Linked DNA regions of Arabidopsis thaliana. The protein of the gene in region 1 interacts with the protein of each later gene in a biochemical or structural test. Each region holds a gene or a part of one and is shown in the gene's direction. Other genes may lie near its edges. The genes, in order: LHCB5, HCAR and DEG1.

Region 1 (9,743 bases):
ATGGGTTCTTGAAGATACTGTAAGCCTAAACAAGAGAGAAACAACAAATGAGCAAAGTTCATGCCTGATGTTAGCAAGGGTGATAAGGAAGATGTAGTCAAACCTAACCTTTTTGATTATTTTGTTCAAAAGACAAACACGATAATCATCTTCACCAAAGGCAGGAGCACAGTGGACAATACCAGTACCACTGTCATCAGTGACATAATCATCTGCTACTACTCGAAAGGCCTCACTTGAGAAATCACTAAAGTAATCAAACAAAGGTTCATACTTCTTCCCAACCAGGGAAGCTCCATTAAATTTCTCCAAAACTTCATAAGAATCAGCTGCACTCTCAGGTTTAGCACCTTTAGCTTTAGGATTTGCTTTCTTAGTATCACCAGCAGGTCCATTACTTAACTTGGCCTTAGGCTTATCAGTGGGAAGAGCAGACAACCGAGATTCAGCAACAATGTACACTTTTCCAGTGTTCTTGTTACGAACCTTCACATAGACAAACTTCGCATTTACACACAAAGCAAGATTGCTTGGAAGAGTCCACGGAGTAGTAGTCCATGCCACAAAAGCAGCATTATCTTGATCCCCAATAACCGGAAAAGTCACCATGATTTCAGGATCAGGGACTTCCTGTACATACACACATTCTACCAATATCAGAGATCAAACTATACAACACAAATCAATCACCTGAAGAACACAATAACAACAACATTACCTTATAGTTCTGACCAGCTTCAAAATTAGATAAAGGTGTCTTACAACCAGTACTGTACGGCATAACCTGCAAACCAGAATTGACCCAAATACAAAAATCACGATCCACGAAACTTCAAAACCACATCAATGCAGGAAGAAGAATGCCAAACAAACCTTGAATCCTCTGTAAACAAGATTCTTCTCCCAAAGCTGAGAAAAAACCCACCAAACACTTTCCATAAAAGGCAAATCCATAGTCTTATAATCATTCTTAAAATCAATCCAACGACCACACCTAGTAATAACCTTCTCCCACTCAGCAACATAACGAGTCACAATACTCCTACACTCTTCATTATACTTATCAATTCCCATCTTAATAACTTCATCTCTCCTCTTAATATTCAATTTCCGATCAATCTCATTCTCAACAGGTAAGCCATGACAATCCCACCCAAACCGACGAGTGACATGGTGACCAGTCATGGTCTGATACCGAGTCACAATATCTTTAATCGTACCAGCGAGGATATGTCCGTAGTGAGGAAGTCCGGTGGCAAAAGGAGGTCCGTCGTAGAAGATGTACTCAGGAAGATTCTCAGTGCGTTTGAGCTGTGTCTTGAAAGCATCGATTTCAGTCCAGAAGGAGAGGACATCTTCTTCTTGACGAGGGAATGAGAATTCTTTTCCTTCGCATACTTCTTCCATGGTGGAAACGGAAGAATCAATCACTGACGAAAATTAGGGTTTCTGCAGAGTTTTTGTTCGGCGCAGATGATATCAAAGTCCCCGGCGTTGAAGATGAAGTTTTGGTGCGTTTTTGTTTATTAATGGGCCGTAGTAAGCCCATTAACTTGTTTGTTTTCTTTTTGGGTCAAACTTCCACTTATTGGTATTAAAAAATCGATTTAAGGAAGAAGGAAAATATTTTGACTATTATGAAACTGTCAAATGGTGGTTGATATACTGAACCAGATGAATTAGATGAATAATGATGAAAATATTAGATGAATAAACTGTTAAATGATGATCAATAAGATAGTAGTTTAATATTGATTAATATACATACTTTAATATAATAAGAAATGTACTAAAATCTAAAATCCAAGGCCAAATACAAAACAAATTGACGCTTTTCTAAAATAAAAACTGATTTATTTTTCCTAATTATGAGACATTGATAATTTTTATTTATTAATTTTTGGACATTTTTTGTCAATTATGGAACTTTTTACTAATTATAAGGTATTTTTGTTAATTATGGGGCATTTTTGTTAATTTTGGGGTAGTTTTGCTAATTTCGAGGCTTAAACAAAACAAAAATATCTGCAAATGGGTCGCAAAAATTTAAGACCCAATACAAATGTTTCATAATAATTGGTGAAAGTTGGACCTAAGTTTATATGAAATCATGTGGTCTAGAACTTATACTAGAATATATTTCAACATTAGTCCACAACATCAATCTGAATATAAGGGTGAGTTTCAAACTTTTCTTTAGGCATATATTATGTTCACATCAGATAAAAATTACATTGAGTGGCTCGTGAATACACTCAACAGAGTTTTTTTTAACATTAAAACATGCATAGAATTTTTTCAAATAATTTTCTCGTACAAAATATGCAACAAATAATGATAAACATATTTTTAAATGCAAAATAGTTTTATATAAAATGAAAAGAATTATTACTTGCGATAGAATCTATAAGCCTTAATCTTTTATCATTGTGCTTATAATTTTGTCCAATCAAATTTCTCAACCTTTATTGGTTTATTATAGACTCATTGCGATCGAGTAATTTTTACTTATTCTAGTTTTTCTTATAAATAAATCATTAATTATTGCTATGTGATATATTTTCTTTCAAAATATTTTATGAATCAATAATTTTAGTGGTTAAAAAACTATGTGAAAGTGAAAATAAAAACACATGTAGTTGGCTTTATGCATTCATATAATCATTTTATACGTGGTGGGAATGAGAATACTTCAACAAGAAAATATGATTGTGAGTAAACACATTTTTAGTGGTAAAGTAGACGATAGATTTGTAAATAGATGTAAATTAGATGATGATTTGACTAGTAATTTCCATGTATAATATTTTTCGAATAAGGAAAAAACGAATATATAAATAAACAATTCTCAAAATAAAATATTATATATTTATTTTCTACTTACAATAAGATTTTAATATATCTTTTTGTTAAATTTATTTTAGTTTTAAAAATTAAACATGCATATTGGATGGAGTTTAATCTAGTTGAATCTAAAATTTAATAGTTTTACGAAAGATTTGTTATTAATTTTAGTTTTGAAATTGAGAATAAAACTAATGAGGCATCAATCCATTAAATATATGTAAGAACAAATCTTCATATATTATATAATATGTTTGGCAAATATATATAAAGTAACTGAAAACAAAGTGAAAATTTGAGAATAATTGTGGGTTTTTTAGTTTTATGTATTAAAAAAAATGTTGTTAATGAAAATCCATATTATTATGATATAAAACAAATTCATTATGAATATAAACATAACAGATATCTTCTATAAAATTCATTATGATATAAAACAAAAGATTAAAATAAAATAAACATAACAAATATCGCTTGTGAAATGAGATCTATATGACTATTGGGCTGAAGTTGGGCCTTGAGAAATAAGAGTGCGCCTTATAATATAGGCCCATTTAAAGTATGTATTGGCGAATCCACGCCGAAAGAGAGAGCGAAAGGGACGATGAGCAACAGAAGAAGAACCGGAGACGATGACAAAGGATTGCTCTGGAAACTTCCCCAAGTTAGGATCAGAGACATTGGAAAAGTTGGTCCAGCTTTTGGACTCGGTGTCGGTTGCGGATTTGGTTTCGGCGCCGGTCTTATCGGAGGTAAATTTCTAATTTCTCCCAATTTTGATCGCAGACTCGCGAATCGCTCGAAGCTATTTATAGATAGTTTTGGTTTAAGAGAGTAGAGATTGGTTTGATGAAAACAGGTGTAGGATTCGGACCAGGAGTTCCTGGATTACAATTTGGTCTTGGATTTGGAGCTGGTTGTGGAATTGGTGTAGGTTTTGGCTATGGTGTTGGAAGAGGAGCTGCTTATGATCACTCTCGTTCTTATTACAACGTTGGAAAACCATCTCTGTGAGTATTTGTCTGCAATTAGATTTTTAGTGATTAAGGATTTGAAGAAGAAGATGATGATTTTGACTTTGGTGATTTGTTGACAGGAATGAAGTTGATTCACTGATTGATGAACTTGTTGTTAGCACGAAGAAGCTTGTGAAAGCTACTACAAATGAAATCGACAAGTGGTTAAAATGATGAACTTTTAGGATTTGTTGCAGCTTCCAAGTAAATGGTAGTGTTTGGTTTGTTCTTAGATCAATAATGTAGATTTGGGGCTAGTGATAATCTCCTTTCTTTTTGTACAATTTTACGTATGGTATAAAGATGGATTCGCATAATTTAGGTGGCTGATTTATCATTCTGGTAATGTGTATGGTTTGAGTGCTGATTTTTGGTGCTATGAGTTGTTCTTTATGGCTCAACTTGGATCAATATGGAGGTTGAGTTTGAGATTTTCTCTCAGTTTAAGGAGGTAGAATAGTGCGTATAGTGGCACAGTGAGCTCAGCTCTAGGGCCAAAGGGCATAAATTCATTATAGCTCTTTCGATTCTACCGTAGTACTGTGTGTGAACCGGCACTGTGAACCAAGATGATTAAATTTTCGTATTCTCTATGTACATGATCCTGCGGCTCAATCGCTTCAGTTTCGATCCACATGATGTATATGTTATAGAATTGTGGGAAACTCCTTGTAGAAAGAGTATGTTCACGTCTAGGACTAGTCGGATGATTCGTTTCTCTTTTTGGTGTAATGAGTATGTTCATAACTGTTGATACAATGTGAAAATCTAACCGTTGAGCTTGGGAGTTTTACGTCTATATGAAAATTCCGGTTGTCGTCTACATTACGGTAGTAAACAGGACCACAGTGATTCCAAATGTCCCAAGGAATTTACTGAAAACCCCAACTAGGACTGTGAAAGGCTTGTGGATGACATTTAACAGTTGAGATTTTCATGTGTTTGAGATTCTTGTAACACATTTTGCTGTATAGGTGAAAGCTTAGCCACACAAAAGGAGAAACAGAGGATATGGATAAAATAAATTATCCAACAAAAACCAATCTAAAAGCCACATCAGCATCCACAACCAATCAGAGGACAGAATCATATTTCACATTTTCAATCCAGACCAATCAAAATCCTGAACGAATCCTACTCTCCACCTTATAGGAGCAGTTTCGTCTCTTCCTCCTTCTTTCACTTAGCTCTTCCTAGTGTTAAACCAGAGTAAAGCTTGAAACTTTGGACTAAAAGAATGGCGTCTTTGGGTGTGTCGGAAATGCTTGGTACTCCCCTTAACTTCAGGGCAGTTTCAAGATCGTCTGCTCCGTTGGCATCAAGCCCATCCACGTTCAAGACTGTTGCTCTCTTCTCTAAGAAAAAGCCAGCTCCTGCTAAGTCCAAGGCTGTCTCTGAGACTAGCGATGAGCTCGCCAAGTGGTATGGTATGTGTCTTCTAAATCCCTTTTATAATCATTTCTTGCTCTGTTTCTTTGTGAATGTGTTTGTAATTGTGACTCTTATGCAGGTCCTGACAGGAGAATTTTCTTGCCTGATGGTCTTTTGGATAGATCAGAGATCCCAGAGTACTTAAACGGTGAAGTTGCTGGAGAGTAAGACACTTTTTCATGTCTCTCTTTGTATGTATGCCTACTTTTGGATTCTGTGCTTAAGGTTTATTGGTCTGAATCTGAATTTGCAGTTATGGTTATGACCCATTTGGTCTTGGAAAGAAGCCTGAGAACTTTGCTAAGTAAGTAGATTCTTTTATCCTAAACCTTTTGTGTTTGCTTTGAGCTATATCTATCGAATTTGTCATTAAGATTGGTTCTTTAATGAATGTGGTTGTAGATACCAAGCTTTTGAATTGATCCATGCGAGATGGGCTATGTTAGGAGCAGCTGGTTTCATCATTCCTGAAGCTTTAAACAAATATGGCGCTAACTGTGGCCCTGAAGCTGTCTGGTTTAAGGTTCTTGCCTACGTCTAATCTTTATTTACATTCAGACTTAGATTCTTTAGCAAAGCAAGAATGTGTTGATGTGATGAGATGGTTCTTTTTGGAATACTGATTGCAGACTGGTGCTTTGCTTCTTGATGGAAACACATTGAACTACTTTGGCAAGAACATCCCTATCAACCTTGTTCTCGCCGTAGTTGCTGAGGTTGTTCTCCTCGGTGGAGCCGAGTACTACAGAATCACCAACGGATTGGTACATTACTCTCTAGTCTCTACATTTAGCTATTACTCATGGGAAAATGACTAAACTTGAAATGCAAATATTTGGTAGGATTTCGAGGACAAGCTACACCCAGGAGGTCCATTTGATCCTCTAGGCCTTGCTAAGGACCCTGAGCAAGGAGCTCTTCTCAAAGTCAAAGAGATCAAGAACGGGAGATTAGCCATGTTTGCGATGCTCGGTTTCTTTATCCAAGCGTATGTTACCGGAGAAGGTCCTGTTGAGAACCTTGCAAAGCATCTCAGTGATCCTTTTGGAAACAACTTGCTTACCGTCATCGCTGGAACTGCCGAGAGAGCTCCCACTCTCTAAGCCATTTCTACTTTTTTTAAGAGCTTCCAAAATGTACACTTTGTTCGATTGGAACTCCTTTTGACAATGTTAAAAAAACTTCCATCTGAATCTTCTTGATATATTTCAAATTTTCAATGGTGCTTTATCATGCTTCTAAGGATATACATAGTCACCCATTGGTTTAATATTTGTTGTTACCAAGAACGCTCTGTCACAATTTAGTCATACATTGCGATTTTATCACTAGTGGCGAGTATGGTAAAAAGTTTCACAACTAATATTGTGATGGAATTTGGGACTATATAAGTTAGTCGAGAGATGTGATCCGTTGAACAATATTAAGTAGCAGAAGATCAAATAGCAATGAGCAGTAGCAGAATATTTTCACAACTAATTAATCATTCTTACATTGTAAAGAACTAGTATTACTCACTCTCAACAATTGCATGTCTCATACAGTAATACCGATGTGTCATAAAAATGTGAATTTTGCTTCGATTGCAAAACACAAATTAGTGTTTTCACTCTGTGAGCTTTGAAGTTGCAGAAATCACAACCCCAATTGGATTCTAAACTCTAGCTAGGCATGTACATTTGCTTCGATTCAAAATAAGAATGTTTTCACTGTCAGATCAAAGGTTCAATAAGTGATAACCATTTTAAGCAAATCAAGCATTTATATTGCTTGATATTTTGTCACATCTAACCAACATTTAACAATTACATTTACTTTTAACAAGTAGGTCGTCTCTACTTCCGACCACCGTCGGGATTAGAACTCGTCCTCTGGTGTAGTCGTCAGATTCCATGATCTATGTTTTTGTAAGGCCTCAGCCCGAGGCCCATTAAAGGGGTTTTGATTATTAATATTAGTATTATTTAAAAAAAAAAAAAATTAAATCTAAATCTGAACTCATCTTTATAAACCCAAACCCTCGTTTAATTTGTAAAACTAACACATCAAGTGTTGGAACTCGCGGTCCTACATCAAGAGTATGGAAGCTGACGTGACGAAACTAGAGACATGATATGTAACATGTAAAAGACGACGTGGGAGCTAATTTTGCGTAGAGTTTGAAGATACGAGTTATTGTAGAGATTCACTAAATATTCTCTACAACAACTTAAGGAAAATATAACATTGATGTGCAAGGTTTATCCATTCGTGGAGATTTACGATTTTCTTAGGATTAGGGTTTTCATGTTGTGTACATATAGTCTAGAGAGGCCATGAGTCGTCGCTAACACTCTAGACTATTACTATAGCAGTGAGATTTGTAAACTTCAAAGCTAAAGTAGACACCTAGATTTACAGACATAACTTCATCCTCATTTAGTAGAACTGCAACTTAATTGCTCTACAAATTTCCGGTTCGCAATATTCGGGGAATTAAAGATTTTTTTTACCAATATAAGCACTTGACATAAACCTCGGAGTAGAGAATAATTAACCTTCCAATCGATCAGTTTCATACACATGGCAATTTAAGTCACTCTTATGCATCCAATTCTCTATAGTTCTTGCAAAACCAAACGACAAAATTTTGTGGAATATGCAAAATCCAAAGCAAAATAAGGCATGAAAACAACGATCAAAATTGAAAATTGAAGTGTTTTAAAGAATGATCGTGCTCAAGTTCTTCACTTTGCAAACTCATTAACATTTACGGATATATATCTCTAGAAACAAAAAATACAAAGAATTATAAATCTATAATTCGAAACGACAAAGAGTAATATAATAAAGGCAATATATAGTTACATGTAGGACACAAACGGCGTGGAAGCGATGACTTGTGGCCAATGAGCATGAGATATGGACAAAAACGGAGGTGGTCAGAGAGATTAAAACAGAGAAAGTGTTAGGGAATTGACATGGCCCTAGAAGATTTTAGGGTTTGACTATATATAAGTGAAGGTGAAATTTACAAAACCTAAGAAGTGAAAGTGTAGATACAGATTCTAGAACAGCTTGTTGTTCGATTAGGAGCTGCAGCAGGCATCAAGAGTCTGTAAGCTGCGTGGATGCAAAATCTGACGTGACAAACTATAGAGGATGATATGACATGTCAAGGACACATGAGCTGACTTGGCGTAGTGTTTGAAGATGCGAGTTGTATTAGAGATTCACTAAATATTATCTACGACAAACTTAAGGAAAATATAACATTAATGAGCAAGGTTAATACATTTGTGGAAATTTACGATTTTCTTACGATTAGGGTTTTCGTGTGGTGTGTAATATAGTCTAGAGAGGCCATGAGCCCTCGTTTAACACTCTAGTCTCTAGATTATTGTGGATTTATAATTTTCATAGCTAAAATAATAAGGCTTAGAAGGTGAGTGTTTGATTATCTCTATTAGTGTTTCACGATTGGGTGAATAGGATCAAACTAGAGTTAGGATTAGACGTGTTCTTAATCGGGTTTAATCTATTGCGTAGAACAAGTTAAGTTCCAAAATAAGTAGATCCTTATAAAGATCATCTTCTTATAATGAACAAGCTAAATACTTTCCAAGTCAAAACTTTGTTGTGTATTGTAGGTTACATGGAAACTCGGTCCGAGGTCCGTTTCCAGTTTCCGAAATGTTTCGAAAACGGAAACTCTTCGGAAACACGAAAATTGTCACAGAAACGCGTTTCCTAGAAATCTATGTTTGGAAACACGATGGAAACGTGAGTTTCCAAAGCAGAAACTCACATTTCTGAAATAGACATACGACAAATTGTTTTTATTGACTTTGAAAATTTAATAACTAAAATTGGAAATATTCAGATTATTAATACATATAACTAATTTTATAAAATTCTGATTTTTAAGATCTTTCTCTTGATAAACCAGATTTGAAGAGAGCTTTATATTATCATTGATGAAACTTATAAAAATGAGAATGAGAATGTTGGTCTAAATATTTGAAACCTTTTAATCTTGATCTTTTAGAATTTTAGTTAACTTATTTAATATTGATAATTTGGACTTGTATTGTTTAAACCATTTTTTCTTTAATATAGTTTTATGTTACTGTTATATATATATATATATATATGAATGTGTGTATACGTTTCCAAAACGTTTATAATCCTTAATTTTAAGAAAAAATCGTTTCTCATTTCCGAAATGTTTCGCTTCCGCGTTTCCGTTTCCGTTTCCATGCAACATAGATTGTTCTCTATATCCTATCAGAAAGTACGTGAAAGTGAAATGAAAGTGAAAACAAATCACAATGTTAGAAGGATGAGGATAAACATAGAGGGAAAGAAATAACCTAAATTTATTCATCAAGTTGTCAAAACAATCCATTCAAACATTTTTAAATTCTGAAATGGTATTGACAAAGAGTAAATAGTATGTGGGGATTTTTAGAT
Region 2 (12,190 bases), on another chromosome or scaffold:
ATTCATCTGCCTAATCTCCTCTTCAGACAAGCTTTTGCTACACTGCTCAAACTTCTCCTTGTCGCACTTCAAGGCTGTGTCTCTACACGCTCTGATGCAACCGCTAATATCGAGCAAGTTTAAGATCACCGGACAGTTTCCGATGCTTTTGACCAATGTGATTGCTAACCAAACTTGTCTGTGTTCTTCTCTTGATGATCTTACAATGCATAGCTTCGTGATTGGATTCACATATTTCACTTGGAAGGAACCGAGAGACGAACCTAGACCACACTCGCCGAAATTGACGAGGATACTGTCTTTGATTGCTTTCGAGAGATTGAATTGTGTAAGAATGATCGGTGTTCCTTCTCCGAGAAGATCCTTGTCCGGATCCAGAAAAACTTCCATTAACATGTATCTGTTCTTAAATCCCACCATGCTTCTTCGAATCTCCTCGATTTGATGATACCAAGTCGGCGGCTAAAGATATTCTGAACATGTAGTTAGGGCATTTTATATGTAAGAAGAAGAAGAAGATAATCACGTGACTCCACGTGACTTGCTTACTTATGGACTTGGGTCTTTGAACATATCTGAAATGGGCTTAGTTATAGCCCATTTCATCTCATACGACTCCGTGATTTGCTAACTAATGGGCTTAGTTATATGGTCCTAGCCTAGTTAATCTCCAACGTTCCCTTCGTTGTTCATCGGAATCCCTAGAACACTCGATTTCAGCAAAATCAAATCGGATTCAGTGATCAAAAGTCAATTTGGTCGAGAAGAAATTGAGCGTTGAAGATGACGGAGGCGATGATAAGAAATAAGCCAGGAATGGCGAGTGTGAAGGATATGCCGCTGCTTCAGGATGGTCCGCCACCGGGTGGGTTCGCACCGGTCCGATATGCCCGCCGGATATCCAATACGGGTCCTAGTGCAATGGCCATGTTCCTTGCCGTTTCTGGTGCCTTTGCTTGGGGAATGTACCAGGTCGGCCAGGGAAACAAAATCCGCAGGTAAGAACGACTTGTAATAGCTCGTTCACATTTCAATTTTTCCTCTAAAATTCGAGATCGCCTTGGTAAAATTAGTGTTGTGGAGTGATTGATGACCATAGTAATGTAGTGAAGGATACATTTTGGTTAATAATTGTTGAAACTTGAGTATGTTTATCGTAGGAATTGGTTAATATTATTAACCTATGGAAACATAGGCTTGTTGAATCACTGTTATGTATTCTGTTATTAGTATTCCCCGACATTTTGGTTGAAGCTTAATCAGCATGAGTTTAGCCTTAAACGAATATAAAGTTCGTCAACAATTTGTAAACTCTTAAAGCCACAATTGCAAAGATGTGAGAATCTGTTATGATGAAAGCAATTATCTAGTTGCATGTTTTGATAGTAGTTATCGGGATACTGTTTCTATGTAGATAGATTGTTTTAGTATTATATCTGGCTTGATCATTAACTTCTTATGCATTTACAATGGTCCTAAACAAGTCTGATTTGATATCAGTAAGTATCAAGATTAATGCTCTTATCAAGATTGATGTGATGTTTAGGGCATTGAAGGAAGAGAAATATGCTGCTCGTAGAACAATACTTCCCATTCTTCAAGCAGAAGAAGATGAAAGGTAAACCATATTCTCAAATTTAAGTCAATGTGCCTGCAGCAACCTTCAGATAGCAATCTTGTTTCAATCCCCGTTTTGCATTCTAGGTTTGTGTCTGAGTGGAAAAAGTATCTGGAATATGAGGCTGATGTAATGAAAGATGTTCCGGGATGGAAAGTTGGCGAGAATGTGTACAATTCTGGTCGCTGGATGCCTCCGGCTACTGGGGAACTCCGTCCTGATGTGTGGTGATTTCCTAGTTTCTCTCAAATGCATATGATGATGATGAATGATGTTTCGCTGAGGATTGATATGTTCTTGTTATATCTTTTTTTCTTCGGGTAATAAGAGAATGATTCAACAGACAGTATTCTTCTTGTATTGGTTTTCTCTTAAGTGTTTCAATCGTAATATGAGGCAAAAACAGTTTCATGATTCATCAGCAAGCTGCAAGAAATTGGCTTATTTGACAGCTCCAGGTGAAAAATATTCGAAAAAGCTTACCGAGTGAAATCGAACCAAATCATATATAATTATATGTGAATTTAATATCCAAAACAATAAAATTTTGAAAACAAGAGTTCTTGAAAATGAAAAAAAGAGTAAAACCTTTTCAGAAAATAAATAAAATTAAATGCTAAATATAGTACATGAAAATGAGAAAAATATGTTAGATTTGTGAAATCGTTAATGACCATGGTTAAATGGCGGGATCCAAAATCCGGTTAGATTTCACAACGTCATATTAATTTAGTATTTATAAAATCTTTTAAAAAAAAGAAAAAGGAAAAAAAAAGAGAGTTGAAAACATTTTTAAAAAAATAAAATAAAAATAATTAAATGCTAAATATACATGAAGATGTGAAAAACATGTTGGATTTGTGGAATCGCTAATGACCACGGTTAAATGGCGGGATCCAAAATCTGGTTAGATTTCACAACGTTATATTAATTTAGTATTTATTAAAACTTTTAAAAAAATCAAAAAAAATTTGAAAAACTTTTAAGAAAAGAAAACAAAAAATAAATGCTAAATATACATGAAGATGTGAAAAATATGTTGGATTTATGGAATCGCTAATGACCACGGTTAAATGGCGGGATCAAAAATCCGGTTAGATTTCACAACGTCATATTAATTTAGTATTTATAAAAAACCTTTAAAAAATTATTTATTTAAATGTTTTAGTGAAAGTTTTAGTTTTGGTTAAAATAATTTTTAAAGAAAAGAAGAAAAAAAGTTAGAATGAAGAAAGTCCTAGTGTAACGAAGGCCTCATACAGCAAAGCCCATTCCAAAGTCCTAGTGTAGCTCTGTCGTAACATTATCCACCAATTTTAGGTCAATTTTGTAAAACTAAACTACAAGATCATTCCATGGGAAGCTTCTCTCCGATATGCAAGACAAGACGCCAAAGAATGGCAAGATGCAGAAGAGTACACCCACCGTTTATCATCAAAACCTGACAGAGTAACGTCACAAGAACCAACAGCTAATCTCTGGACAACACCCCCTATTGGTTGGACGAAATGCAACTATGACGGCACTTACCACAGCAACGCTCCGAGTAAAGCGGGTTGGCTCTTACGGGATGATCGAGGAACCTTTCTAGGTGCAGCTCATGCTATAGGCTCTATTACTACCAATCCGATGGAAAGTGAACTCCAAGCTTTAGTCATGGCCATGCAACATTGTTGGAGTAGGGGCTATAGGAAAATTTACTTTGAAGGTGACAATAAAGAAGTCTCAGAGATTGTCAATGGTCGGTCTTCAAATTTTGCAGTTTTTAATTGGATAAGAGATATAAGCGCTTGGAGATCAAAATTTGAAGAATGCAAGTTTACTTGGACAAGGCGATTTTCAAACATGGCTGCAGATGCTCTGGCAAAACAACAACTTCCTTTGAACACTCAGTTTTATTGCTATAACTATATCCCGTTTGTAATAACTGATTTTTTACATCGCGACTTTGCTACAGCAAATTATTAATAAAGCTGATGTTTGAGGAAAAAAAAAAAAACTACAAGATCAAACCCTAGTTCCTCCGATGAAATTGCGGTTAGAAAACTAAATATTGATTGACCTAATTCAAAGAGACCTTTTTTGTGCAGAAACTAAATATTAAAAATCCAAGGTTCCAAGAGATCAAATAGGAATTTAAGCGAGAAGCAACATACCTGAGTCTCGTGACAACGGCGCGTGGTTTGCGTCAATACTTGGGACTCTCGGTGAGATCCGCCATGATTTGCTAGAGAGATCGTGAAACGCAAGAAAACAGAGAGACAAACGGTGGCGAGATCATTGATGGTGTGATCACCGAGTTACAGTTCCGACGGTTCTGACGGTGGTGAAAATGGATGGTGATCATCGAGCTTTGACGTTCTCGTGATCGGTGAGTTCTTTTTGTAAGAGAGGAACAGAAACAAACAGAGGCTAAAAAGACAAAAGAAGAAGAAGAAGGTGGATTTTTTGTTTTCTTCTCGTAATCCATGCTTTGGACCTTGTATCAGCCACTTATGATCATTTGCTATATTGATGCTTTCCAATTTTAGAGTATTGAAATGGGTTTCTTTGACAATCATTTTGAGTTAGTCATCATTCCTTGTTCTGAATCAAGAATTGGCTTTTGTTATGTTGTCTAGGTTCTGCTTGTAACTAGAGTAATGCTATTGTAGTCTCTGTTGTTTATTTGTAGAATCATAGAGAGTCGTGGAAGCATGTTTTAGTTGTTACTCTCGATTTCTTGTCGATGTTGTGGTGTTATAAATTGAGCGTTTTAACCAATACAAGTTAGGAGATGGTTAGTATGTGACTATGTGTTAGTGGCCATGTATGTAGTTCGATCAGATAATCTGAATGATGTGCTAAAGAGCTTGCATAGGAAGACTGCCTTTGTGTTAGCTTGCATAGAGACTTGTTGCAATATATGAGACTGAAAACTATTATGTGAAAACTTTAATTTGTGTACAAATATTTTTAACTCTTAAAATTAAACTAACATTGTACCAATTAGCACATGAAAGAAACACAGAATTCTGTGAACATATGATGAATAACTATATAAACACATTATGGATTCAGTTAAGGAGACAGAAACAAGAAGATGAATTTCAGATATATAGCAATAGAGTCACTTATAATCATATCAGAGCTTATACTTTATACAAATTATCACTTTAGTCCTTAAATTAAAACCGATTTAATCGACAATCTTGTTATTCTTTAAAACAATTTGTTCTTATTTTCAATCTTTAAATTTTGCAACAATCGACAGAACTTATCGTTATTCCGTGTTTTTATTTTCATATCTTTCTTAAAATGTTTCAAAATAATATATGTTTAATATTTTCTGATTTACAATAGTTATTAAGTTATATGAAATATAATTATTTTAAATTTTATTTTATTTTTCAGAAAACTCTTATAAGAGAGCTTACCATTAGAATATGAAAAAAAATTAAAACTCTCTTATAACTTTTTAAAAATTTTAATAATAAAAAAATGGAGAAAGCCCGTGAAAGAGCTCTTACGAACCAAAACCATTCAGTCCGGTTAAGAATTGGTTATCAAGTTTGGTTCCTAAAAGATATCCAAGTTCAAAAGCAAAAAAATATCTTCTTTTCTCTCTCTCTACTCTCTTCTCTTCTTCTCTTCTTCTCTTCTTCTCTGGCTGGGCAACCATGATTACTGTCGTCACCTCCAGGCTCTCTCTCCTTCCTCCAGTCTTCTCCGTCGTTAACTCTTCTTCTTCGCGTTCCAAAGGTGCTCAATTTATTTCTGCCACGTCTTCTCTTTATAGCACTCTGTTTTACACACGTCGTTGATTCTTCAGTTTTTTAAAAGACCCGTCTTATACAAAATTTCAGTGTAACCGATCCCTGAAATTCGTTAAAGGGATGAAATTTTATCTAAGATTCGGAGTTTTCTTTTCGAACATAGTGGTAATGTTTGTCGAATGCTTGATTTGGTCTTCCACAGCTGTCACTATCGAGTTTGAAGATAGAAATCTTGTGTTAACTTAGTATGTATTACTGCATAATGTCAATTCTGTTTGAAAGCATCAGAATTTCGGAACAGATTTTTGTTTCGTATAGCATCGATCTTTGTCTTGTGTGTTTTTATCTTCTCTCTGAAGCCTGCATGAACCCTTCTCTTATGGCTTTAATTGCAGATATGAATCTAGAGCCAAAAAAGAAGGTTAAATTAAGAGAAGACTGGAGAGAAAAGTCCAGACCTATCCCACCCGGAGGAACCTATCCAGCTAAAGACCATTGCAGGTTTTTTCTTTCTTTTTTGTTTGTTTGTTTGTTTACCTCACTATTTTTGTCTCATTCTTATCAAGATCCTTGGTGTTCTGATGGGTTTGCAGTCAGTGCGGGCTATGCGACACCTACTACATTGCCCATGTGAAGGAGGCATGTGCATTTCTTGGAGATGGAATGTCAAGGATTGAGGTAATGTCCATATAAATGGATAAGATTTGATACTCTTTTTAATTGATGGGCTAAGATTCTTATTTTGTTAATATTTTAAGTTCTTGTGCAGAGCTTGGAACCTGTTGTGCATGGTAGAGGAAGGAAAGCAGATTCCTTACAAGATACATATTTTGGGGTGCATCAAGAGCAGCTCTATGCTCGTAAGTTGAAGCCTGTCGAAGGTAAATAGACACTTCCCTTCCACTGTTCCACATTTTCTACTAACTTCTTTTCCTGGCTCAATCTAAGCTAGGGCACTTTTGTGTCTCGTTCAAGATGAATTTAGCTTAGCTTTGTTGTTTACTTTTCATTCTATTTTCGGTTGCAGGAGCTCAGTGGACTGGAATTGTCACAACCATAGCCATTGAGATGCTGAAATCTAATATGGTTGAAGCTGTCGTTTGTGTGCAGAGGTAAAACTACTGTTGAATTTCAGAAATGGACTAGGCTTACATTTATCGACCATGCTGTAGATTTTTCCATCTATCCATGTAACTGATTTATTGAAATATTACAGTGATCCTGAAGACAGATTATCTCCAAGACCAGTATTAGCCAGGTTTTCCACCTTCCTAATGTGGTTTATTTTGAGTCCATTCTTCTTCAAGTCGCCATTTTTTAGATGTGGATCCATATTTTGCTGTTACTCTGGATATAGAAGCGTATTGATGTTTCATTTCTTTTCATTCTAAGGACACCTGAAGAAGTTTTGGCTGCAAGAGGTGTCAAGCCAACTCTGTCTCCTAATCTGAATACTCTTGAATTAATCGAGGTTATTTGCCAAACCCTTATTTCTTGTTTGTGTTTTCAATCACTGAATCCATTTCACATGAACTTAGAATTTGTATTGTAACAGGCTTCCGGAGTGAAGCGTCTTCTGTTTTGCGGTGTGGGTTGCCAAGTGCAAGGTATGGGCTCAACATACTTTTTTGTGGACGTATATTTCAAGTTTCTCCATATCGTGACTCTCATAGTATTGTAATGCAGAGTGATTTCTTATACTGCAGCATTGAGATCAGTGGAGCAGCATCTGAATCTGGAAAAGTTGTATGTACTAGGCACCAATTGTGGTATTTTCCTCATCCTATCTAGATTTGTTTTTTCTCCAGAACTTTCACAACTAGTTCTTGTGTTGTACTTTTGAACATTCCATGTTGTATATGTTATTTCGGAGTCTTGTATGCTTAGGTCTAGAAATGCTTATACATTTTTAAACAAGTAAAAAGAACATCTTTGATTAATAGTGGACAACGGAACACGAGATGGACTAGACAAGTTTCTGAAAGCAGCTAGTAAAGAGCCAGAGACTGTTCTCCATTATGAATTTATGCAAGATTACAAGGTTAGCATTAATACAAAACCATCACTTATCTGTGCATTTTCTTTGGTGATGCCAATCTTGTTCAATTTCTCTTATAGGTCCAACTCAAACACTTGGATGGACACATTGAAGAGGTAAATTCGCTTAAAATACTGTGTTGCTCTGCAATTGCAGCTGAAAGCCGTTTTTAAAAAACTTTTTTTGGCTAAAGCAGGTTCCCTATTTCTCTCTACCTGCAAACGATTTAGTAGATGTCATAGCTCCATCGTGTTACAGGTAATACAAGTCTCTGCATTGTCTCTATACCTTGAAATAGATAACCTGTCGGAAATTTTTAAAACTTGTCTACAATTACAAACCCTATCTTTTTTATTCTGCAGCTGCTTTGATTACACAAATGCATTAGCGGTGAGTGTTTCTCTAGCAATTAAGATGTCTTTTCACTTAATTTTGATTCTGCCAATTTCAAACATTTCCTGATATGTATGAGCTTGTTTATCTAGGATTTGGTTATCGGTTACATGGGTGTTCCGAAGTATTCAGGTCTGAACATGACTGACCATCCACAGTATATTACAGTGAGGTCAATATTTCTACGTATTTTGACATGGACCATATAGGTTCTCGTGGTTGGATAAAATTAGTTTTGTTTATGCCTTAAACCACAGAAATGAACGTGGGAAAGAAATGCTCAGCTTGGTAGAAAACCTTTTGGAGATCACTCCAACAATCAGCAGCGTAAAGTTTCTAACATTTATATTTGTTGTTATATTTAAGACTTTAAGAGTCCACTTAACAAATAACATGAACAAACACACCTTTTGTTGTTGTTTCAGGGTGATCGGCGACCTTTTGTGACAGAAACTGTTAAGGCAGACGATGCTGCTAAGTTTGGTATGTTTTCAAACGTATTCGAAACTCTTTTGTTTCTTGAATCGTCTCTGCTTAAAGACATTCAGTTTCAAGCAAAGCTAGATGCCAAAAAGAAAGTTCTCAGCAAATGCATGCAACTAACATTGTGCTAAAGTCTTCTAACTAGTCTATAATTTCTTAGGTCAAGGTCCTGCTCAGCCAGCGCCACTATTTGTTGGAAACATTATTGCGTTCATCCTAAATTTGGTAAGATTATTTCCTTATGAACACAAACCGAGAAACAAGCTCATTGCATAAAAAGTCAAAGAGTTTCTTAACTTGCAAAACCATTCTTGCTTCAGGTTGGTCCTAAGGGTCTAGAATTTGCTCGGTACTCGTTGGACTACCATACCATCAGAAACTATTTGTACGTAAACCGCAAATGGGGAAAGCAAAGGTAAGATCTGAAACACACTCCTAGAGATAAAAGTTTATTGCGATCAACTGTGTATTTCTATACTATTGGATCGTTCTCTAATGACCAAAGCTGCATTACCATCTACAGAGCAAACACCCACATGCCATCATATGCCAAAAAGATAGTGGAAATGTACAACAAAAACGGCCAAATAGATAAAATGCTCTCCAAGAAATGAACATTTTAGGCCTTTCTCATGTAAGTTTCCAAATGTATATTTCATCCTACAAGTGAGTAAATGTACATTGGTCCTACTGTTTCTCAACTTGTAGTATGTTAGTAATATCCAAAACTATTTCCCTCGTGAATTTGGTAAGACACCGGCAAGAAAAGATGGGTCGGTTTGGTGTTTTTTGGCAGAGAACAGAGAATAAGAAACAGTCTAAATCAGCGGCTGAATCCAAATCAACCCATGTGGGTTCCTTCCTCCATATCTTTAGGTTAAGGTGATGTCCGAGTAAAAGGTTGCAGGGTTTTGCATGAGAACATGAATAACTGTTTTAAGAGGATGGGAACCAGACATTTACACAGTTGGGGGGAATTAGCTTTTAATGTCTTTTTTTTGCTTGGACAAAGAAGAAGGAACCATGGTTAAGCTTCACTCGCTCGCTCACTCACTCACTCACTCACTAACTTACTCATCACCATATTTCACACATTGGAAACTTCAAATTTTACTCTCTCTCTTTTTTTCTTTTTTTGTCTTTTTGTTAGTCAAGTCTCTGCTCTGCTCGTTCAATGACTTTGCTGCAGAGACTCTCAGACCTCAAGTGAAACTCATAAATGTCTCTGCTCTTTTGCACCATAGTTGATTTTTTCTCACCAGAGGCATTGTCCTAATACAGAGCATGTAAACGTTTTTTCTAATAATATATTTAAGTGAAATAAAGCTTACTTTGGTACCTTGAATTAATTTTGAGTTGCAATTTGACATATAACAATGTTAGAGAATTCATTTACGTATTGCATATTTTGGATCTGTATCTGTATCTGTTTCAGTATATATATATTTATAACTAGATCCAACATCATATATAATATATGATTTCACTCAAGTTTTTCTGAGAAAGTTGTATAATGTTATATTTATTATCCATCTGTGTTTCAAATTAGATACATTGTTCATCCCTAATGGATTTTGCATATCCTACAGAAATGCATGTTTCAGTATTTTCAACTTGTGTTCCCTGGAGGTTGTAATCCATGAAACAACTTTAATATGGACTGTCCAAGACAATCATGTGTAAATCAATCATTTGCCAAATATAATGATTACAAAATGGCTAATAATTCCTTAATCAGTTAAATAACAGCTCTAACTTGTGAGAGTATTCTTCCAATAATGAAACAGCATGAAATTAGTTGTTTCTTTTCCTGATCAACAACATCATCATAGAGATAACACAACATGCATCGTTGAGAAAAGAATTACAAAACCGTAAAATATATTTGTCATATTAGATTAAGCAAAACTTCTTACAAGAGTTCAAAATCTAAAATGAAGATTTAAAAAAAATACAACAACAAAATAAAGCACTCTTAAAATAAAAATACATAAAAAAGCCACATCTTCCTAAAAAAACAAAGAAAAATCCCCCTATTATTTTTTTCTTTTCACAATTCTCTTTTTTTTGGGGGTATTTTCTTCCGAGGAGAGGGCTTAATTATCTTCTTCTTTTTTTGAATATTTTTTTCCCTAAATTTGATAATGATGATTAGAAATGTGAAATACAACGACGATGACGAGCAGCAGCAGTTTTCTTCTGTTGCTTAGACTCTTCTTTCCACCTATTAGCAATATCATGAGCCACACTCATAGCATCAAGCGACGCACCAAACAATCCTTTTCTCGTGAACCCTACCGCATACAATCCCGCCTCTCCTTTCCATCCGTTTGGAAACGGGTTTTTTGGTATCCCATCATCGGAGAAGAAGTCGTTGTCCTGTTAATACAATTAAAATTCAACACACCAAATTAGTACACATACGAATTTATTGACCTAATTCTTAGTCCTAACTGTCATTACCGGATTTCTATTTCTAACCAAAAACTAGTACCACGTTTTTGTATCCTTTTCGATGAAAATATAAATGTTAATGGTTCATTTGCATTTATTGCTCACATTCGAAACACAATTTGAGTAGGGTTTTCACTAAACTAGGACCGGGTCGGGTGGTTTTTTTTGTGTGTTTTGTCTTCCGACATCATTAAATGTCTAAAATTTAAGCTAAACCTTGAGAAGAAACAATGAATGAAAGATGTTTTATTTATTACCTTAAGCCATGAAGGGACGTTGCTTCTGTATCCAGTAGCTAGAATAACGGAATCAATCTCAAGAACACGGCCATCTATTAGCTCAACTTTGCCTTTGCCGAACTTTATGATTCCGGGGACGATTTTGATCTTTCCCGATCTGATTTTGGGTAACGCTCCGATGTCAAGAACCGGAGTTTTGCCTTCCTTGTTCTTTAGCTCTAACGGTCCAATTTTCGGCCTTTTTAGACCGTATTTATCGGTATTCCCCAAGATAATCCTCGCCAGAAAGAGTATAGTCTTGTCCGCGAGCCAAACGGGCATATACTTCATCATCGTAACTCCTAATTCAAACGTTGATTTCCCAAAAATCTCTCTTGGTAAAACATGAACCTGATAAAATCAAGAAAGGAAAAAAAAACACAGACTATTAGATACTGCTCTGTTTTAGAAAACAGAGTAACAGAAACAGAGGATGCTCTGTTTTAGGGGCTATAAAGATTTGAACTTTTGGTACTTTTTTTTTTTTTTTGGTTTAAGACTTTTGGTACTTACAGCGCTACGAACGACCATCGATGGGTTTGCTCCGTGATTGTAGAGATCGAGAGAGACTTCCATACCGGAGTTTCCACATCCCACCACCAAAACCTTTTTCCCTTGGTACCTTCCACCGGATTTATAGTCACCAGCATGGAGAACATCGCCGCCAAAATCCTCTAGACCTTCAAAATCCGGCACAACTTTCTCAGCGTTCTCTCCCGTTGCCACCACAATCCATCTGCATATATACTCAAACTCGCAAGAACCGAGCTGACCCATGTTTGAAATGGTCTTAACCCGCCACAGCCCGAACGTCTCATCATATTTAGCGGACTGGACTGTCTCGTTGAACTTAGGGTTGATGTCAAAGTTGGCTGCGTAGGACTCAAGGTACTGAATAAACTGAAACTTGGTAGGGTACTCAGGGAACTCGTCCGGGAAAGGATAATTGGGTAATTGGCAAAACTGTTTAGGTAGATGGAGTTTGAGACGATCGTAGGTTCTGTTTTGCCATAATGAAGCAATGCAGTTAGCTCGCTCGAGGATTATGAATGGTACCCCTTCACGTTTCAAGCCCGCAGCAACGGCTAGACCTGATGGGCCAGCTCCGACGATGACGGGTCCATTGACCCAGATGCAACGCCGGGAGAAAATGTCGCTGCCTTCGGGGATG
Region 3 (11,036 bases), on another chromosome or scaffold:
GATAAAAAAAAAGTTTAACATCATAATACTAATCTAAAATGACCATGACAAACATTGTAATTAGTCATCATAAAATAGTTTTAAAAAGTTTAACATCATAATACTAATCTAAAATGTTGTGTTTCTACTCTATAACCGAATTGTAGAATAGCATAACCAAAAGCCATTCTAATCCTCCTATACTCAACAAACGAGTATGGTAAATCATGCTCAATAATGGCCATTGCAATCAGTATACGAAAAAAATATCTAGCTTTTGAACAGTCTGTGTACTTCCATTGCACGTTCTAATATGACAAAGCAACGTTGTCATTCCATTTCTATATAGATTCAATATATAGTGTGTTTTACATTTGTTGCATCTAATATCATGTTCACTAGTAGGTAACTTCTCTCCAATTATTGTGAATTTATTTCAACACTTAGAAACTCTACGGGTAGGGCGAATTGGCTTGAATGTACCTTTCATTTTCTCAGGAAGAGTGCCTTCATGATCCATATCTTCTTCCAAATCTTTATTGGTATTGTTTTCATCATTCAGGTTAATAATAGCATTATCCATTATCTCAAACAATTAAACAAAACAAAACATTGACTCATATTATAAAACATTGTGATAATGATGTTTAAAAACTATCTCTCAATACATAAACTTATAGTAACAACAAACAAATACTAACTTTTTATCTTGCAAAATAATTTTCATGAATAGCTAAGTCACATTTAAAGGAAACAGAATGACTGAACCAAAACCCAGATCTAAAAATAAGAGACCGTACCTCATCAAAGAAATCACCCATTGTAGACGATACTCAAAAGAAGAAGACGATCCTCGAAGGAAGAAGACGATCCTCAAAGGAAGAAGACAATCTAGAGCTTTGAATTTAGAAGCGATTCTCAATTGTGTTTTTCTCCAATTCGATTTCAGAAAAAACGAAAGAAGAAGAAGAGAAGAAGACAGATGATTGCAAAAATAATTAATTGGTGGACTTATCCATTGACCAAATGGTCAAACCCACCTCTAACTGCAGATCTATTTGGGCTGAGTCCACTAAAACCATGTTTTAGTTTGGCCAAATTTTAAATGTTCGTAATAGTATTTGTTTGGCTGAGCCCATGGTCCTTTTGACCAATTGACAGCTCTAGTCTTACTACCTCCACTAGTGCATAGTAAAAACACAACACTAGGCAGCAAACGCATTGCAACGCTAATACCTCAACTCACAACAACATCAACATCAAGGCAAAACCAAAACATATCAGTGAGCTAAAGAAATACCACCAATGCCAATAACTGATGATTTGGAGGCTTGAAAAGCCACCACTAGAAGCTGCAATAACTCCAAATCAACATCATCGTCACCACGAATTGCCAAGAAAAAAATATCTCAAAACAAAAACAACTTTTCAGTTGTGTAGCAGTGTAGAGAACCAAAATTTTGAAATTTAATAAAATGTTATCTTAAAATATGGTTTCAAAACATTCACATATGCATCACAATATCTTGCAATTACCAAAACTGTCATAAACACATTCTCCATAACCTTGACAAATTGTATACAACAATAAATAATATCCAAAAAATTGGGAAAAAAATATTATACGAATAATTTAATATTTAAATTTTACAAAGATAATGTCTAGTTTCTAAAGATTTTTTTTTGGATTAGTCGGTTAATTTAAAGCGCCGCTTAGGTTTATTACTATATAAAGTCTTAATATAGAAGAATGTTGAAATATTCAAACGTGAAGCAAAAGCAGAAGCGAGACTATCGCCGAGAGCTCTCACTAACTATTGAATTCATCGAAGAAGCTCTCTCGTTGTCGCAGAATCTCTTCTTCTCCGTTCTAGAACAATGGGGAATGCTCTTGTCAAAAAAGAACCACCGCCTCCGGTGGTACTCGTTCCTCCGCTCTTTGATTACCCTCCTCTCTCCGCCCGCACTAGGTCTACCATCTCCTCTTCTTCTCCGATCTGATCCTCATACTTTCAATTTGTTAGAATCGCGTGATTTCGAAGTAGTTTTTGTATAACCTAATCTAATCAAATAGATCGATTCTGATTTATAGGTTAAATTGTAATTGTGCGATTGTGAGAAATTGTTGTTGTTGTTGATGCAGGATGTTGGAATCATCATATAATTTGTTGTTTGGGAAGCTTGCATTGAGATGTCTATTTGAGGATTACTTTGAAGAAGCTAATCGATTCACGGGCAAGTTTTTGTTGAAGCCTACTGATGATCCTCATGTGGATTTGGTTGCATCTGTATCCAATTTTGAAATCTCTTTTGTGTTATTTAGTTTCTATATAGTGATGATTCGAGAATTTTCTCTAAATGGATGTATTAGGGATATGTAGAAAATCAGAATTTTCCTTAATAGTCTAAAGGTTTCGGGTGCTGTAGATGGTAGAGTGGAAGGAGATTTTGTTGGGAATGCGGAGTTTCGCTGGCAAAGGTATAGATTCTTTAGTTTTTAATCTGAAAGATTACAAGTAGTTGTTGGAGAATTGGAATACTGATTAGTTTGTTTTTGATAAATATGCAGTGATGTTGATGATCCTCATACTTTTGTTGATCTCTCTGTGTCAACCTCGAATCCGTAAACTTTGTGCTACTTTTGATATATTCTTGGAGGTTATGTTCATTACAGTAGTTTAATGTTTTGAAATTGTTTGTTTTGTTTGTCATCATCATTAAGGGTTCTTCTAATGAGGTCTTCTGCTTACTATCCTAAATATGGAATCGGGGCATTTGCGGTCTACCCTTTGATTTCAAAAATTACGTAAGTCGTATCTAGGTGTGTACCCTGTTGTTATATTTAGATTAGATGTAATATTGTGAGGGTGAATATATGTTGTCTCTGTAGTGGAAAATCATCTGAAGAATATAGAATCATGGGGTTGAGATATGGCTCAACGAATTTGTCTGTCGGAGCTACTGTCACTCCTTTTAGTGGTAAGCGCATAAAGTTGCTCTGTGAATTCACGTTGTTTTCTTTTGGACACAATGCTGACCCTTTGATTCTTCAATTCAGCGAATAACGAATTGCCAAAGCATGCATGGCTTGTAAGCAAGATGGGAAGTCTTACAGTAGGAGTACAATATGAGCCGCTACGTGAGTTAGTTTACATTGTTTTATTTCTGTTGAACAGATTTTACGCATCACATGTGGAAACTAGTATCTATAAATTATGTGATTGAAAGAAAGTGAGCATCAACAATTGTTATTGGATTTTGTTTTAGATGGAAGCAAAGATTTGGCAAAGTACACAGACCCAAGAAACTGGAGTTGTGCTGCTGGCTATGGAGTAGGGTCACAAAGCCCCTTGACTCCTTCTTTTAACATTGGCATTGAACTAGCAAGAAGCTCTCAGGTGATTCTTTTAAAATCCGTGTAGATGAAAACATGTTGTTTTGCTGTCTGTATGCACAAGTCTTAACCCCAAACAATTTTTCAGTATCTCATGGAACTTGACAAACGACCACATTATTTATCTAATGGCATATCATCCATTTTGTAGCATTTTTAGTCTTGCTGATTATGTTATCTTTCTTGTAAATGCAGTTTATTGCTTCGTTCTACCAACACGTAGTGGTCCAAAGACGGGTACAACTCTTTCAAACAAGTCCTTTTTCTGTGCTGCATCTTATACTAGTCTTCCATATATAAAGTTTAGCACATCTTTGGCTCAATATGAAATCGATTTAATGGACTTGGAACAGGTGCAAAATCCTTTCGAAGAAAACCAAGTAGTTGGAATCACAAACTACATTGATTTTGGTTTTGAGCTACAATCGAGGTAGTGAACATCTCTAAGTAAAAAAAAAAAAAACATTGTAGCTACTGTTTGTCTATACAGAAACAGAACTTTATATTTCGTCTTAATATTGAAGGGTTGATGATTCCAAGACGCCACCCAATGCCCCAGATTCTTTATTGCAGGTGGCTGCGTCTTGGCAGGCCAACAAGAACTTTTTGCTGAAGGTATAAAAAAATATTTACCTTATCGAGTTACTCAAAAAGAAACCATTTATCTCAAATTTTGCTCAGTATGTAACATTTTCAACTTTTGCAGGGTAAAGTCGGAGCTCATAGCTCAACATTGTCATTAGCATTCAAGTCGTGGTGGAAACCGTCTTTCGCATTCAATATTTCAGGTATGCGTTGATAAATAACCTGAATGCAGCGAAATCAAGATGAACATAGGTTCTTGGTATTTGAACATGTTTGGACTCATTTTTTATGCAGCAACAACTAATCATAGGACTGGAAATGTCCAATGTGGGTTCGGTCTACGTGTTGATAACTTAAGAGAAGCCAGGTCAGTCCATTTGTGACAAGTTTAAAATTAAATCAACCCTCTTTAGCTTCATGATCTTCTTCACATTGTTTTATTTTGTGAAATTGCAGTTACCAAAGAGCTGATCCAAACTTTGTAATGCTGACACCGAACAAAGAACATTTAGCTGAAGGGATTGTGTGGAAAATGGGGAAGAGACCAATGTATCAAGCCGATGTGGACGCAGAGAATTTTAGTGAGCTGCCAAAAGAACTTAGACCGTCCCAGAAGATTCTCTAAACTACACCATTAATCTTTTTGCACTTTTATCTAGTAGATTTAGATATCAACCAAGTCAAGTATTTAATAAGTTCGACGAAAGAAGAATTACTTAGGAATAACCATTTTTACTCTTATGGAGTACAAGTGTTTAGTGTTCAAAATTAGGAGTGGATTATCTGGTTTAAACTCTTAAGTTTGGTCTTTTTGGGCTTTTGATTTTTCGAAGTTCTTAAATGAAGCGAAATCCTGATTTGTTTTTGGACTTTTCATTCGGTTTGGAACGATATTTATATGGGATGATATATTACGGGTGAACAAATATCAAACAAAAACAAAACAAATAATATAAAGAAATACAACTTAAATTTAAAAATTTTAAAAAATCGATTATTGGTGTACTACGGGTTATGGATATAAGTAACAACATTCTTTATAATATTTACCATAATAAAGGTTACTGTTTAAATTTATTTTCAAAGTACAAAAAGTTTTCGATTCAATTTGATTCGGTAACAAAAAAAAGACCCGGTTTTGTTTATTCCAGATTCATAAGATCATAAAATAGTGGTTTACTAAACAAATTTCAATTCAATTTCGGTTCGATTCGGTTACGTATACAAAACCATAGCTTCGCATAGAAAAACCATTATTTTCAAAAATTAATATTTTTAATTACAAAAAAAAATGAAATAAAACAGAGACCACAATCCCATTGTCCCATGACCAGAAGAAGAAGAAGAAACTAAATGGCGACGACGACGAGTTGTTCGCTTCTCCTTTCTTCCACTCTCTTCCTTCACTCTCCTCCTTCTTCTCACCTCTCCTTCTTCAATCTCTCTTCTTCACGATCCTCTCCAATTTCTCTTTACCCAATCCGATCCAAACGCTATTTCCGAATCCTCTCGAAGCTTTCACTAAACGACAACAACAGAGACGACGATGATGATACTCTTCATTTTACTCCGTTCTCCGCCGTTAAACCTTTCTTCCTCCTCTGTACCTCCGTCGCGTTATCGTTTTCACTCTTCGCCGCTTCTCCCGCCGTTGAATCTGCCTCGGCGTTTGTAGTTAGTACTCCGAAGAAACTTCAAACTGATGAGCTCGCGACGGTTCGTTTGTTTCAAGAGAACACTCCTTCCGTTGTTTACATCACTAATCTCGCCGTGAGGTATCTGAATTTGATTTCTCTCTGGTGAATTTCGTTTTGAATTTCTTCTCTCCGTGATTTGAGGATTGGTCTAATGTTGTTTGAATTAGGCAGGACGCGTTTACATTGGACGTTCTTGAGGTACCTCAAGGCTCTGGTTCAGGATTTGTGTGGGATAAGCAAGGTCATATTGTTACCAATTACCATGTTATTCGTGGTGCTTCTGATCTCAGGTTAGTTATGTTGAAACTTTGAGAATCTGATTGATTTTTGATAGAAATTGGAATTAGTAATTGTTGTATTCTTAGTTTTATAATGAGTACATTGTTTCTTTGGATGGTTTCTTTTGATGTTTGTGTATGATAAGGAAGTTGGATGATGTATATAACAGGGTCACTCTTGCTGATCAAACAACATTTGATGCAAAAGTTGTTGGATTTGACCAAGATAAGGATGTTGCAGTATTACGTATTGATGCACCGAAAAACAAATTAAGACCTATACCTGTTGGAGTCTCTGCTGATCTGCTTGTTGGCCAGAAAGTCTTTGCCATTGGCAATCCAGTGAGTATACATCCTTAAAGTGATCATAGATTAAAGCTCTGCTTTGTGTTTTCTATTGCTAGCTAGGTCAATACTTATGTTTCTTGTTCATACGCACTAAAGCAAGAACTTTTTTGTGCAGTTTGGACTTGATCATACTCTCACAACTGGTGTTATAAGGTATGTTAAATTATATTTGTCTTCTCTTTTTTTTAAGTTGCATTCTACTCTAATCAGATGTGTTCTTCTCATAACGAACTCACAAATGAAAGTGTCAAAAAAGATGATTGGTACTTGAGGATACTGGATACATATATTTTCTCTTGCCCCTCTTCATGCCAAATGGCTATACTATTCCTTTTCTCTTATTAAAACTGTAGCATGTTTGTGCATTATGATTTGTACAGTGGTTTGCGAAGAGAAATTAGTTCTGCTGCAACTGGTCGTCCAATTCAAGATGTGATACAGACAGATGCAGCCATTAACCCTGGTAACAGCGGAGGACCTCTTCTAGATAGCTCAGGAACGTTAATTGGTATAAACACAGCCATTTATTCTCCTTCTGGTGCATCTTCTGGAGTGGGCTTTTCGATCCCAGTTGATACAGTGAGTTCTCTCTTCTTTTTTACCCATTGCAAATCTGATCAGATAGAGTCTTTCTCTATCATTGAATCCACTAACGGGAGACTAAAGTTGTTTCGAGCTCTGTTTCTCTCATGTTCAGGTTGGTGGTATCGTTGATCAGCTGGTGAGATTTGGTAAAGTCACCAGACCAATCTTAGGTATCAAATTCGCACCGGACCAATCTGTTGAGCAATTGGGAGTGAGCGGTGTGCTCGTCTTGGATGCTCCTCCAAGTGGTCCAGCCGGCAAAGCCGTAAGCTCTTCCTGTTTCCAAGTTTCCATATAACAGATATTTTCTCTATGTTTCACTCCGCGGTTTTAATATTGAAATGTGTAAAATTGGTTTTGTTCCACAGGGACTTCAGTCAACAAAACGTGATGGTTACGGGAGACTAGTACTAGGAGACATAATCACGTCGGTGAACGGTACAAAAGTCTCTAACGGGAGTGATCTGTACCGGATTCTCGATCAATGCAAAGTCGGCGATGAGGTAAACTCCGCAGTTTTTGTCAATTAGTTTCTGCATCCGAGATAGTTTTGACACTGATGATGTTGATTAGGTGACCGTAGAGGTTCTAAGAGGCGATCACAAGGAGAAAATCTCTGTAACTCTCGAACCAAAGCCGGACGAGTCTTAGAAACGTCGTTGAAAGAAGTAAATATACATAACGTGTAGAAAAAAAGTCCGGTGGGTTATATTTTTGTATATCAATTGTTCGGAAAATAGATCGTCCAATTGTGTACATAAAATCTGTTTATATTTGCATACATGCGAAAGGTAACCGGAAATAACCAAAATTGCAATGTCTTCAAACGGTCTTATGGTTTGGATTGGTTTTTAATTTCGGTTCAGACATTGGGAGTGACGAGTCTGACACCTAGAAAAAATCAAAATGAGAAAAATGAAAACCGAATTTCGTCGGCTTAATGGACAGTTACCTCATCTTAGCAATGATGCATAGTACTGATTTTGCGGCTTTGTAGTACCAAATTTTTTTTTCAACACTCTCTCGGATGCATAGTACTGATTTTGCAATGATGCATAGTACTGATTTTGCGGCTTTGTAGTACCAAAATAAAATTTCATGATTGTGCGGCTTAGCAATGATACATATTACATAGTACATTAGTACTGATTTTGGACCTTTATTTTAGTCGAGACAATTCTGAACTTACGGATTCCGAAGTTAACAAAGTCCTTTTATAGCTTTTATTCAGTTCCGAACATGGTTACTTTTTATACATGAAACTTCCTAAAATTTTACATCTACAAACATTCGAGTTTGAAAATTTAATGGTTTGATTTTCGACTCATTACCAAGAATTTCTTTTTGATATTATTCTTCATGATTTATCAAAAGATGTACGTGTATTATATGGTTATGTCTTGAGTTCATGTCATGTGTTCGAATCTTTATAATATAGTCTTACACGGTTTAGGTTATTTGTTCAATTGTTAAGTCATTTTACGGTCCCTATTTCACATTATGTTAGTTTTTTAAAATATTTAAAACAACGTACTGTAGTTTTGATAAATTATTGAGTTTTTTTATTAAGTTGTGAACGCATGCTCTCGTTGAGAGATCATTTACTCGAGCTAAGTTATGACTTGGATGGTTGTGTTGCAGGTGAAAGGTAGCTTTGCAAAAAAAAAAAAAGTTTGAGGTTATGTCTGCATGTTTCCCTGTATACAAACTCAACCATTTGTATTTTATTTTTTGGGTGCAAAAACTATAATTTACGTAGTTTTTGAACACTTTCATAACATCAAATATTACCCACGTGATAAGTGAAAACGAACCGAATATGTAATGATCAGCGAAGGTCCCTACGTGGAATTTAATATTTGTGTCATTCTTTTTAAGCAACACCAACAAGACACTGACATGGGTTGGTATTTATAAATTTGCAACGTAAAGTATATGTAGTAAGATTGTATCTTCTATGGTTGGGACTGTATCTAAACCAAACCGGTTTAATAGGGTATATATTTTTTTTGTCTTTGTCTTTGAATTTGTGGGGTCATAAATCACGGGCATCTTCATTTGGAAATGTATTCATAGTAATGTATATAAACTACTTTCGAGCCGACTTGGTAATGATTACGAGAATCCTCTGCTTTTGGAGTAAATTTCTAATTTAATATGTACGTGTATCTAGATATATATACGACGACATGTCGTTACCCAAATGCTTCGTTAGAGGATAGCTTGTTGAGAACTTGACTATGCCAATCATATATGTTTGTTTGGCTTTATGTAGCCCCAATATTAACAACTTAATACTAAAAAACCTAATAACAAAAACATTGAGTAAAAAACTACAGTACTTATAAGTAAAAAGAATAATGATAGTAGCTACTTCATATACATAATTTACATTTCTTAGAAATAATTGTTTGTACTTTCTCGAGTTAGTCAAAAATTAAAGTAGTTTTTTTATAACCGAAATACTATTTAGCTAGTGGAAACTATATTTTTCTGTTTTTGTGCAAGTAAATAGTATGCATATTTATAAGGGTATATGTATAAGCTAGCTCGAAAACCAAAGTAGAAGAGAGTAGGAAGGTGGTAACTGGTAAGTAGGGAGACAAGTGAAGAGCAGAGCTTCTATTCCTCCAATTATTTAGTTAAATAGTTGTGAGACATATTCCTTACATATTCAGTTTCACTATTTTATTCTCTACCACTTAACTTGTTAGTTGGAACTAGGTTATATGGTATTCAACATATACTCATACTTTGTACGTAGACGCTTTCTTGAGTAAATAAATTAAACCTTTCATCAAAATATATATATATATATATATATGTCTTTGTATATTAACAGTATGCACACACATATATATAATTTAGGTCCATAATTTTTCTACCCCGAAAATTAGAGGAGATTAATTTGGTCTCTTATCTACTATAATGTTCGAACTTGTGACTTGAAAATTCTCATTTTGACTAACTAATCAGTATACAGGCTAAACTATCTGATTAGATTTAAGAAATTAAATCGATATGATATGTAAATGAACACATAAATTTTGTGGTCTATTTTTAAAACTCAATTAAAGAGGGTAACCTCATGAACTTTTAAAAAGTATGTCGAAAAGTTGACTATAATTTGAGAAACAAGACATATGGAAAGGAGAACCATTTCATTGATCCATCAAAGTTTCTTTTTTCATGTTTTATCTTCTGCAAAAAAACTGTTTTAGGGTGAACTCTGTGGTACTTTTAAATAGGTTGTTCCGATCCCACTTTGTTGTATAAATAACTAAAAATAATATGTAGTTCCAATGAAAAAGATCATTATCAAATATTAGTAGAATGTAAGTGTATACAGTGCATAAACAAACTGGTTAACGTGTCAAATAAATTACAAATCAGTTAAATCATACAATATAGAACATTTCGCAGTAATCTGCCCCATATTTAGTAGATTTGTTTTTGTAAATTTCATGTCGCAAGTATAGTATTTAGATATTGCCAGAGGAGAAAAAACAATTTTTTTATAAATTTTTTGGCCATAGATACAATTAAACCAACTGCCAAATTTTAGCTTTTAATACGTAACGTAGGGTAACAAAGGATAACGCTATAGTCGCTATCTATACATTATTAGGTACATATTTATGCTTATAGCCATGATTACACAAAGATACGTATTGATGTGAGTGTATATATAAGCACGTGTCACGAAAACCCATCATAAGTTCACTACTCATAATCTCTTTCTCTCTCTCACACACACACACAGACACACACAAACATAGAAGGAATCAGAGAATAAAAAAAGAATGAGAATAAGGAGAAGAGATGAAAAAGAGAATCAAGAATACAAGAAAGGTTTATGGACAGTTGAAGAAGACAACATCCTTATGGACTATGTTCTTAATCATGGCACTGGCCAATGGAACCGCATCGTCAGAAAAACTGGTACTCTTTCTCTCTCTCGCGCGTTTTGTGATTATATATATTAACTTTAGTCTCTAGCTAGTTCATATATAAATATATCTCAGTTAGACTAAATTTGATTCGTTGATAGGGCTAAAGAGATGTGGGAAAAGTTGTAGACTGAGATGGATGAATTATTTGAGCCCTAATGTGAACAAAGGCAATTTCACTGAACAAGAAGAAGACCTCATTATTCGTCTCCACAAGCTC

What was found.
Region 2: the proteins of LHCB5 (region 1) and HCAR form a complex in vitro, tested with the Arabidopsis thaliana proteins (one study listed by BioGRID).
Region 3: the proteins of LHCB5 (region 1) and DEG1 form a complex in vitro, tested with the Arabidopsis thaliana proteins (one study listed by BioGRID).

The regions. Positions count from the first base shown.
Region 1 is NC_003075.7:6,403,103-6,412,845, forward strand, and holds LHCB5 (light harvesting complex of photosystem II 5), read left to right. Parts: upstream 1-4,904; 5' UTR 4,905-5,097; coding exon 5,098-5,287; intron 5,288-5,370; coding exon 5,371-5,455; intron 5,456-5,544; coding exon 5,545-5,595; intron 5,596-5,693; coding exon 5,694-5,814; intron 5,815-5,920; coding exon 5,921-6,055; intron 6,056-6,133; coding exon 6,134-6,394; 3' UTR 6,395-6,747; downstream 6,748-9,743. Other genes in the region: AT4G10320 (tRNA synthetase class I (I, L, M and V) family protein), read right to left, coding at 109-630, 719-784, 874-1,407; AT4G10330 (glycine-rich protein), read left to right, coding at 3,449-3,596, 3,704-3,854, 3,941-4,034. UniProt on the Arabidopsis thaliana protein: The light-harvesting complex (LHC) functions as a light receptor, it captures and delivers excitation energy to photosystems with which it is closely associated.
Region 2 is NC_003070.9:1,279,580-1,291,769, reverse strand, and holds HCAR (coenzyme F420 hydrogenase family / dehydrogenase, beta subunit family), read left to right. Parts: upstream 1-5,150; 5' UTR 5,151-5,277; coding exon 5,278-5,359; intron 5,360-5,768; coding exon 5,769-5,874; intron 5,875-5,966; coding exon 5,967-6,051; intron 6,052-6,142; coding exon 6,143-6,254; intron 6,255-6,400; coding exon 6,401-6,485; intron 6,486-6,589; coding exon 6,590-6,631; intron 6,632-6,765; coding exon 6,766-6,844; intron 6,845-6,928; coding exon 6,929-6,980; intron 6,981-7,079; coding exon 7,080-7,142; intron 7,143-7,316; coding exon 7,317-7,414; intron 7,415-7,491; coding exon 7,492-7,527; intron 7,528-7,607; coding exon 7,608-7,669; intron 7,670-7,773; coding exon 7,774-7,801; intron 7,802-7,896; coding exon 7,897-7,976; intron 7,977-8,061; coding exon 8,062-8,131; intron 8,132-8,229; coding exon 8,230-8,287; intron 8,288-8,447; coding exon 8,448-8,512; intron 8,513-8,607; coding exon 8,608-8,702; intron 8,703-8,810; coding exon 8,811-8,901; 3' UTR 8,902-9,607; and 1 more. Other genes in the region: EMB1687 (ribonuclease P family protein / Rpp14 family protein), read right to left, coding at 1-420; MEE4 (GRIM-19 protein), read left to right, coding at 784-998, 1,547-1,618, 1,705-1,849; AT1G04625 (Polynucleotidyl transferase, ribonuclease H-like superfamily protein), read left to right, coding at 1,950-2,076, 2,982-3,538, 3,850-3,939; YUC3 (YUCCA 3), read right to left, coding at 10,439-10,666, 10,999-11,370, 11,533-12,190. UniProt on the Arabidopsis thaliana protein: Probable iron-sulfur flavoprotein that converts 7-hydroxymethyl chlorophyll a to chlorophyll a using ferredoxin as a reducing equivalent. Catalyzes the reduction of a hydroxymethyl group to a methyl group. Belongs to the chlorophyll catabolic enzymes (CCEs).
Region 3 is NC_003074.8:10,363,140-10,374,175, reverse strand, and holds DEG1 (DegP protease 1), read left to right. Parts: upstream 1-5,231; 5' UTR 5,232-5,311; coding exon 5,312-5,733; intron 5,734-5,822; coding exon 5,823-5,945; intron 5,946-6,103; coding exon 6,104-6,275; intron 6,276-6,396; coding exon 6,397-6,434; intron 6,435-6,661; coding exon 6,662-6,860; intron 6,861-6,978; coding exon 6,979-7,131; intron 7,132-7,234; coding exon 7,235-7,369; intron 7,370-7,439; coding exon 7,440-7,517; 3' UTR 7,518-7,567; exon of another isoform or gene 7,568-7,827; intron 7,828-8,507; 3' UTR 8,508-8,524; downstream 8,525-11,036. Other genes in the region: AT3G27930 (beta-galactosidase), read left to right, coding at 1,858-1,949, 2,123-2,267, 2,391-2,458, 2,549-2,602, 2,702-2,785, 2,870-2,958, 3,038-3,118, 3,247-3,377 and 6 more; MYB0 (myb domain protein 0), read left to right, coding at 10,670-10,808, 10,918-11,036. UniProt on the Arabidopsis thaliana protein: Serine protease that is required at high temperature. May be involved in the degradation of damaged proteins. In vivo, can degrade beta-casein.